Linked DNA regions of Neurospora crassa OR74A. The protein of the gene in region 2 interacts with the protein of the main gene of each other region in a pairwise test. Links are inferred from orthologs where the notes say so. Each region holds a gene or a part of one and is shown on either strand. Other genes may lie near its edges.

The links. The genes of interacting proteins can lie anywhere in the genome.
Region 1: the proteins of sad-1 (region 2) and sad-3 interact in a two-hybrid assay, tested with the Schizosaccharomyces pombe proteins (2 studies listed by BioGRID). The link is inferred for Neurospora crassa OR74A from reciprocal best matches to the Schizosaccharomyces pombe genes rdp1 and hrr1.

What each region holds. Positions count from the first base shown.
Region 1 is NC_026501.1:5,854,004-5,858,575, reverse strand, and holds the start of sad-3 (suppressor of ascus dominance-3 protein), read left to right. Parts: upstream 1-1,718; coding exon 1,719-1,757; intron 1,758-1,813; coding exon 1,814-2,466; intron 2,467-2,529; coding exon 2,530-3,432; intron 3,433-3,512; coding exon 3,513-4,572. UniProt on the Schizosaccharomyces pombe protein: Has a role in the RNA interference (RNAi) pathway which is important for heterochromatin formation and accurate chromosome segregation.
Region 2 is NC_026501.1:968,100-972,417, forward strand, and holds the start of sad-1 (RNA dependent RNA polymerase), read left to right. Parts: upstream 1-1,399; coding exon 1,400-4,318.

The sequences.
Region 1 (4,572 bases), about 4.9 Mb from region 2:
GGCATGCGGCTCTAGACGTGGTAGGTATAAGGTACTCTTGCCCCCCGCGGCGCGCGCGCGCGTCATTCCATCGGTTCCATTCAAAGGACTTATACCACGCACGCCGAGCTCTTGGGAAACACCTCGACAACTGCTTCAATTGGTCAAGGGGTTGGCTGGCTTCTCCGTTACGCAGAAGCGCCCCTGACGTCATAAGGGGGCTTTTTGTACGAGGTGAGTTGGTGTTGTGGTATCCTGACGAGTATTGGCAAGCATGGAACGAACCAAATCATGTGCCCCTATCAATGTCCGTCTTTCAAAGGTCTACAATAGGGCGACCGAGGCTGTGAGACTACGTCGTTGCATTCTGTTCAAGAGAGTGCACCTATGCTCCTGCTTCGTGGACCTGCGAATACAACCACCTCTAAGAGGTCTTGTGGAAAGATACTTGAGGGTCGGCTCGGATGAAGAATCATCCCACTGATACCAAAGCATATCCGTATACAAAAGTACTCATCCCGGTGTTCCGACGTCCAAGTTTAGTCCCGTCCAAACTCAGCTCCAAACATTGGTGATTTCCTGAAGTTTGGGCTATGTCCGCACTAGACTGACTCGAACAAGGCCTGACATATGAATCGCCGGTGAGAACGTGGCTGGTAGCACACCGAGCGGCCCCGGAATATCGTTCGCACCAACACGCGTCAACATCATCATGTCAGCTGCTGGAAGAGAACGTCTTGCTGACGGCGTGAGCATCTTAGAGAACAAATGTAACGGATTTCAACCCAATACATTGTTCATGAACCGATGATCTTGGAATTCGGTTGTTCGTTTCTTGCATTGTCGTGCTCACCTTGAGCTAACCATGCCGAGATAGAAAATGCTAATAGATGTCGATAGAGTTGCTCCTGTGGTTTGTTCGCCTTAGTGTTTCACAAAAACAAGGCCATATGATTGTCAAACAAAGAGGCCGGACGTGAAGCCTTCTTGTGCAGGATGAGACAATACATCATGTCGGATCTTCTTCCATCGCTATTGCGTGAAGGAAACATCACGACTTTACAGTTTGATAGATCCAAACGCTTGAAAACCAAAAGTCGACGAACAAACTGGGGCAAGAATACTAAAACAATCAGAGGGCCAGGAAGGAAAACTTGCCTTTTCGTCTTCTTCCTATGCTCAATGTCAGCCTTCTATCACCTCGTGTTTGCTTTCCCCGGCTGATGAGACAAATTGTTAGATGACTGAAAACCTCGGCCGGCATTCGTTCTTTCCAATTCGAATGCAAACGGTGTGTTCATTACCGTTAAGTATGTGGAAATTACTATCCTCTACCCAACCCACTCCTTCCTTCCACGGTCGCAGTGTCAATGAAATTCGAAGTAGCTTTCCAATTCTTACAGCCTCTCTATTTCACGCTGCCGTCGTTGGCGTTGACATTTCTACCCCGTTCAAATTCAAGGCCGCTTGTCGGATATTAGTACATCCGTTTTTCGCCCGACAATCTTGAGTTGAAGCATTTCTGCTTCCTCGTTCCCCTCCCTCCTCTTTCCTCCAATCTTACATTTGGCGTCCAGCTCCTTTTAAGTCCACTGGTATTTGGGCATTGTCTGCCACAATTACTCAATCGTCTTCAACGTTGGACGGGTCTCTCTGTCTCGATCTCCATTTCCTCATCCTCTCAGCGGTGCCCGCTTTGGTCTGGCCTGATCCGATCACTTCCGCATCACGCACTCAACATGGCCAACCGCGACGAGTGGATTCAACTGAGCGCTACGGTACTAAACTCCCATCCTTTCTTTGTCAACCGTATTGCTGACACAGGTCTCCACAGAGAGACGAGATCGTCCGTAGCAATATTTTTGTCAAGCTTGAAGATGGAGACGGATGGAAGTCGAAACCCGAAATTCCCACGGCCAAGGAAATCCTTCTACTCCAGAAAGAGGCCGAAGGTCTGCCTGAGAATGATGTAAGGCAGCCCTGGAAATCCAAAGAGGACTACTTGAAGGCTCAGTACGAGATCCTTCGTCGCGAGGGCACTGAAGGTTTGCGATTCGCTGTCAACAACTACATCTACAACAACAACCACGGACTGCGCCAGGATGACGATCAGCACATGTTCGTTTATACCCAGGTTCGCATCAAGTCGTACATCATGACAACATTAGGACCTCTTGCGCGTGTTGAGTTCATGCCGCAGAGAGCCATCAAATGGCTGAAGTCCGGTCGCCTAAAACCCGGCAGTCTTCTTGCCCTCACCACCAAAGCCGACAAGTTCAAGACCATCTGCAAGGTCGCCGTGGTTGCCCAAAGGCCGTACTTGCTTGGACTTGATCAAACCCCTCCACTCGTCGACCTCATGTGGGGCAACCCAGAAGATGCCGTCTTCGATTGTGATCTTGAACTTGTTATGATTGAGGCCCAACACGGCTATTTTGAATCCTCGCGTCATTCTTTGGTCGGCCTGCAACTGGCTGCGCAGGCAGAGTATGTATCGCAATCGAAATCAAAGCTTGAATGTATCACGCAGGCTAATCATGTTTAACTTAGTACTCCTATCGACAAATACATCACCGGCAGTCACAGGGGAAATGAGACACCAAGCTTCATATACCAAAGCCCTATTATGGACTTCTCTTCTGTTGTGCGCCAACCCCTTGCAGACCTTGAGAAGCTCAAATCCCTGCGCGAGTTCAATGTGCTCTCTGGACTCCTCCCAAAAGATGTGGAAAGTATCAGCTTTCTCGACGCCTCGCAACTATCCGCTCTTCATCGAATGGTCTCCAAGGAGCTTGCCATCATCCAAGGCCCTCCAGGAACGGGGAAAACTTTTACCTCGGTGGAGGCAATCAAAGTCATGCTTGCGAGTCGCCGCAAGTGTCCAGGACACAACCCGCCCCTCATTGTCGCTGCGCAGACAAATCATGCCTTGGACCAGCTGCTTGGCCATTGTCTTGAGGCGAACGCAAAGATTCTGCGTCTTGGCTCAAGAAGTGAGAGAGAAGACATGAGGCCTTACAGCTTGTATGAGATGCGCCGCAAATGCTCCCGTGGTGGGGGTGGAAAGCGGTTCAGGGAACTGGAGGATGACCGTCATACCAACATCGACAGAGTAGAGGCACTGGTTGACAGTGTGTTTGGGGACAGTCTCATCGACCCACGCCAGCTTCATGCACATGGCATCATTACCGAAGCGCAGCTGGAGTCTTTGTACGATGATGAAATGGAGACAAGCCCGGAGTTGGAGAAGCTTGGTCCCTTTTCCTTATGGTTGGGAGACTCACGAATCCCGGCTCGGATCGTTCGCGACAGGCAGCCTCTCATATCCGAAACATTGGAAGCTGACGAGGACTTCGATTATGAGCGCGACGTAGAGAACATCGCGTACGATGAAGAAGACGCAGACAGGATAAACGGCAAGGAAATCAAATTGATGCATATATGGACCGGAAAGTAAGTTTGACGATTACCCGATGTTTTTATGGTCCAGTCGTATCTACGTTTTAGAAAACTGACCATGTATCGTGGGTCAGAGAGCCTGGACACTTCAAAAGCTGGAATCATCGTGCACAACGCTTGCTCAGAGAGAATGATAACCTCTTTGATATACCCCAAGACTGGAGGGGTGCAGTTTACCAGCATCTCCAGTCCAAACTGGTGCAAGCAACCACTCCGACGCTGGCTGGGCTGCTGGCCAAATACGTTGAGATATGCAAGCGGCGCAGAGCACTCAAAGCCCGGCAAGATATTGACATGGCCTTCTCACAAGATATTGCGGTCATCGGCTGCACAACAACCGGCCTTACAAAATACCGCGCGTTTCTGGCCGGGCTACAGCCCAATACCCTGCTTATCGAAGAAGCTGCCGAAACAAGGGAAGGAAACATTACCTCGGCTCTGTACCCTTCCCTTCAACAGCTCGTTCTGGTTGGTGACCATGCACAGATGTCGCCTCGATGCGACATTCGATGGCTCGGTCAACATCCGTACAACTTGAACGTCTCTCTGTTTGAAAGGCTCATCAACCTGAAAATGAATCACATCATGCTCAATCAACAGCGCCGCATGAGGCCGGAGCTGAGACGCATAGTCTCTCCATTCTATAATAACCTACTCGACCACCCCAGTGTCCAATCTCCGCAAGCACGTCCGGATGTCCCTGGGATGGGTGGGCGTAATTGCTGGTTTTTCGATCACGAATGGATTGAGCGAACGACTTCTGACAACAGCAAACTCAACGACCAAGAGGCTGAAATGATCACCCTCTTCTTTGTGTATCTTGTGTCTAATGGTGTGTCTAGTGAGAAGATAACCATCTTGACATACTACAGGGGCCAACGAAGTCTTCTCTTGAGAAGACTAAAAGGGCATCCATCGCTCACTGGCTGTTACTTCAACGTTTTCACAGTGGACTCGTACCAGGGTGAAGAAAATGATATTGTTCTCTTGTCCCTGGTGCGTAGCCCTGACCCAGTCTATGGGCGCAACATCGGTTTTCTTGACAACCCACACCGAGCTGTGGTTGCTATCAGTCGCGCTCGGCAAGGGTTCTACATATTCGGCAACGTCAATAACTTACTCGAGGCTAAAACC
Region 2 (4,318 bases):
CTAGACGATGGATTGGCCAGGAGACGCAAGGTTCATGGCTAAAGGGATCACAGAAGTGAGTGTATCTACTGAGGATCAAAACCCCTGTCTTGACTGGATGCTGTGGCGTTTTTACATTGATTTCAACGTTGAGCTTCAGTTTCGGAGGCCATAGGGCAATGAATGCATCAATGACTGAGGCACAGGATATCAAGAAGAGCGAAACTCGTATATAATTCTCGGTTTGGTTGAAACTCCGTGGAGAGGAGATGTGGGTTGTTTACATTTATCAATTGATCTGATGTCCGGCGTCGTCAAAGAAAGTTCCATCTTCCAGACGAGGAGCTTGCAACGAAACGAACCGTGGGTACAGTGGGTTCGGATGATAAGCGGGCAGCGGTGACCTCGACGGGAGGCCCTCTCTTATCACATATTTCAGATTGGAGGAAGGAACGACGGCAGGGAGAAGGCACGAAGCAATGTTTCACAATTGCTTGAATTGTCCATACCCAGGTGGCTGCCTAGAGATACTTAGAGGTAGCTTAGGAACATTGGGGCTCTTGCCTCAACATGGACAGCATCTTGGAGTTGACAAATTGATTGTCTAGGTACCTCTGGTACACCCCGGATCCATCATCTCCACGGCATCTGTCAATCAACTATCTCCCGAGAGCAAATATCATCAGTGGCAGTCTCACATTTTTTTTTACTTTACACATTGGAAGAGTAGTTGGAAAAGCAGCTCAGTTAGCTTCAGCTGTGAGTTGACAATATTCTCCTTGCTCAATCCCAGCTCACGGCCTTCTCTACATCTACGGTTTCTGTCGTCGCTTCCTGCCCTGTCCACCACCTCTGTCTCAAGACTGCCTTTTCGATGTTCTTTCGTCCCAGTACACATAAGACACCTTGTAACGGAAGCTGAGCAGCTCAGTTGTCTCTGCGACGGAATTGTCATCTGATACTTGTTTTTACCACAAGTATCCTCCTCCGCCCGGCGTTCGAGACTCCGAGGCCATCAAATCTTCCGTCCCAAGACGAGACTTCTCCAGTCATCCGTTACCCCGGCCGGCAACCACCCCAGCATTGTGCTCTCCCGCAAAGTTTAGAGAGGCGCATATGCCTTACCCTACGGTAGAGGTATTTAACGAGTGCTCTTCTCGTCCATGAGCATGGATTCTTTCCGCATTCACATTCACCGCCTTCCTCGCCAGCTACAAGACTAAACATCATCAAACATACGAACCACGGAGTAACAGAAGAGGTGTAGTCAGTAACTGCTTACACAACCCCTCAACTGTCACCTGCACCTTATCAAGCACCTGTCTCGTAATTCTCTTCCCCATTACCCTTCATACCAGTGAATCTGAGTCTATCCTAAGGAATAACTGAAGGCTGACTGTAGCCAAGACAGACATCCACCATGTCAGGAATACCCAACTGGGTAGAGCAGGCGCAGCATGCCATTCTTGTGTCGCCGGACAGAAGCCCCAAAGATCAGGACGCTCGTCCGAGGCATCCTAGCCGCCGCAGATCCAGCCAGCAGGGACATCGAGAGAACACACCGACACCTCGACCACCCTCGCGACCAACCTCGCGACCCTCCTCCAGCTCTCCCAAGCCTCCCCCTCGCGCTTTTCGGCAGTTCTCACGGGGCAAACCAGCCTCATTCGCATCCCTCCCCTCTCTGACACAACCAGTCTTCATTTCCAGGGAGTGGAAGTGCGCCAGGACCGCTGCCATTCGCGTCAAGGATGTGCCGCCTAGAGCTAAACTCCAGGACCTTCACGATCTCTTCTCTGAGTATGGTCATATTAGCTACATTGAACTTGATGAGGACCGTCAAGATGTTTCTGATCGTGGCCGGAGAGCTCTGATTCGCTTTGAGCCACCTCCGCTATCTACCGACTTTCTCTGCCGAGGCATCTGCAGACTCAGGATTGGACTTGTTGACCACTGGCTGCCTCTCGAGACAGTGGACCCAAAGCGCGAGGATCGCAAAGAACGTACCATCAAGACTCAGCTCGGCAACACTTGCCCGCAAACTCTATACGTCTTTCCCTCAACACTGTCTTTCGGTCTCTTAGTCCAGCCTGCGGTATTCATGAAGAAACAATCCGTTCAAACCCTCTCGTCCGACTCTTTCCTGAGACTTGAGTTCGATTTCAAGCGCATGCGACTGGTAATTAAATTCTCCCTCCACTACCAACGCGAACTTAGTGGGTTTCGCAGACAAAATGAGCATTACAAGCTCCACATTAAGTTTGGAGTCATCAAAGAGTTATGCAGAACCATGGTCGGCGAGGAGCATCGTCAAGCTTTGGTCATAACTCTCCGGGACCCGCCGGTTGCGTACAGGAAGAGGGATGTCTCAAAGACATTTGGCGAGGATCGGCTGACTTGGAGCGAGAATGACCTCTGGGAGAGAGTGGTCGACATTAGCCCTGGACTCGATGTCAGCAAAAACCCAGTTTCGCTCGCCGAGAACCACCAATATATTGACCTGGGACGGTGGCTTACCTATTGGATTGAACTGGATCAACAATCAACAAGAGTCTGGGATCAAGTTCAACAATATTTGCTCGATTGGAATCTCAGGACTAAGTTGACTGTTTTCCCCGAGCCGCTTCCCAACCAAAAACCAAAGGTATGGGATTTTCTGGATGATAGATACGGCCATGACATTCAACAAGTCTCCTCACGGTCCTGGAGCAACGACTTTTCTCTTTTAGCCGCGCCGCCCCGTATTTCTCTACCGTTTGATGTTCGGTATCAGCTTGAAGTCTGCATATCGCAAGGAATCATCAACGAGCACAACATTGACCGGCCGTTCCTTGAGAAGCTGATGGAATTTTGTGATAATGACAACAGCTTCGGCAAAGATCGGGCTCGCCTCATCCTCGAATACGTCGCCGATGAGTATGCTGGAAAGCGTATCTTCGACCCGATGGAACTCTTCAAGGATCATGCAGCCTTAGCTTATTTCCCAACTAGTTTCATGATACCCAACCATTGCGCTTGGGTTCGTAGGGTCACCATCACCCCTACTCGTATCTACTTCAGTACCCCCTGCGTCGAACCCACGAACCGCGTCATCCGCCAGTGGAAACATGCACAAGACTACTTTATCCGCATTCAATTCACCGATGAAGTTCTTGAAGGACGTATCAAGAGCGGCGAAGCGGAACTTCCCCTATTCTTGCGTGTGTACAGGGTATTGGAGAAAGGGGTTGCCATGGGTCCGTGGCATTGGAAGTTCCTTGCATTTGGCAACTCTCAGATTCGAGAAGCCGGAGCCTTCATGTTCTGTGAACAGAGCAATTTGACAGGCGATATGATGCGAGCCTGGATGGGCCGCTTCAGTCACATCAAGGTCATTGCCAAGTATGCGGCTAGACTTGGGCAGTGTTTCTCAACTACCCGTTTGGTGCCTGGCATCCCGGCACCGAGGATCGTCACCATCCCTGATGTCGAAAAGGACGGATTTTGCTTCACGGATGGAGTAGGCAAGATTTCCCCTTTGCTTGCAAAGATCGTAGCGCATGACTGGAGCATTGACCCGCCGCCGTCAGCTTACCAGTTCCGCATGGGAGGTTGCAAGGGAGTCTTGGTAACTTGGCCTGATGTGAAGGGTATGGAGGTTCATATTCGGAAGTCGCAGGAAAAGTTCGTTGCCGAATTCAATGGCCTTGAGGTTGTCAGATGCTCGCAGTTCTCAACCGCCACTCTCAACCGGCAAATCATTGCCGTTCTCTCGTCTCTTGGTGTTCCCGATCAAGTCTTTGTAGACATGATGGAGCAGCAGCTTTCTGACTTCAATGCGGCGATGGAGGACAAACAAAAGGCGACGGCGATTCTGAAAACGTTCATTGATGAAAATCATATGACACCTATCATTGCGGAGATGCTTGCCTACGGCTTTATGGGGTCTCAGGAGCCTTTTGTTCGCACCCTACTTCAGCTGTGGCGATCATGGTCGATCAAAACGTTGAAGGAGAAAGCGCGACTCAATGTCGAAAAGAGTGCGTTCGTGCTCGGCTGTGTTGATGAGACTGGCACTCTGAAAGGGCACATGAAGGTCATTGAAGACTGGAAAGACGTGTCCAGTGAGAAGCTTCCACAGATCTTCCTACAGATTCCCGATGATGTCAATGGCGGGTACAGGGTTATTACTGGAACCTGCGTCGTTGGCAGAAACCCGTCTCTCCATCCTGGTGATATCCGTGTGGTGGAGGCAGTTGATGTCCCTGCTTTGCGGCATCTAAGAGACGTGGTGGTGTTCCCCTTGACTGGGGACAGAGACGTGCCCAGCATGTGCTCTGGTGGAGACCTCGATGGTGAT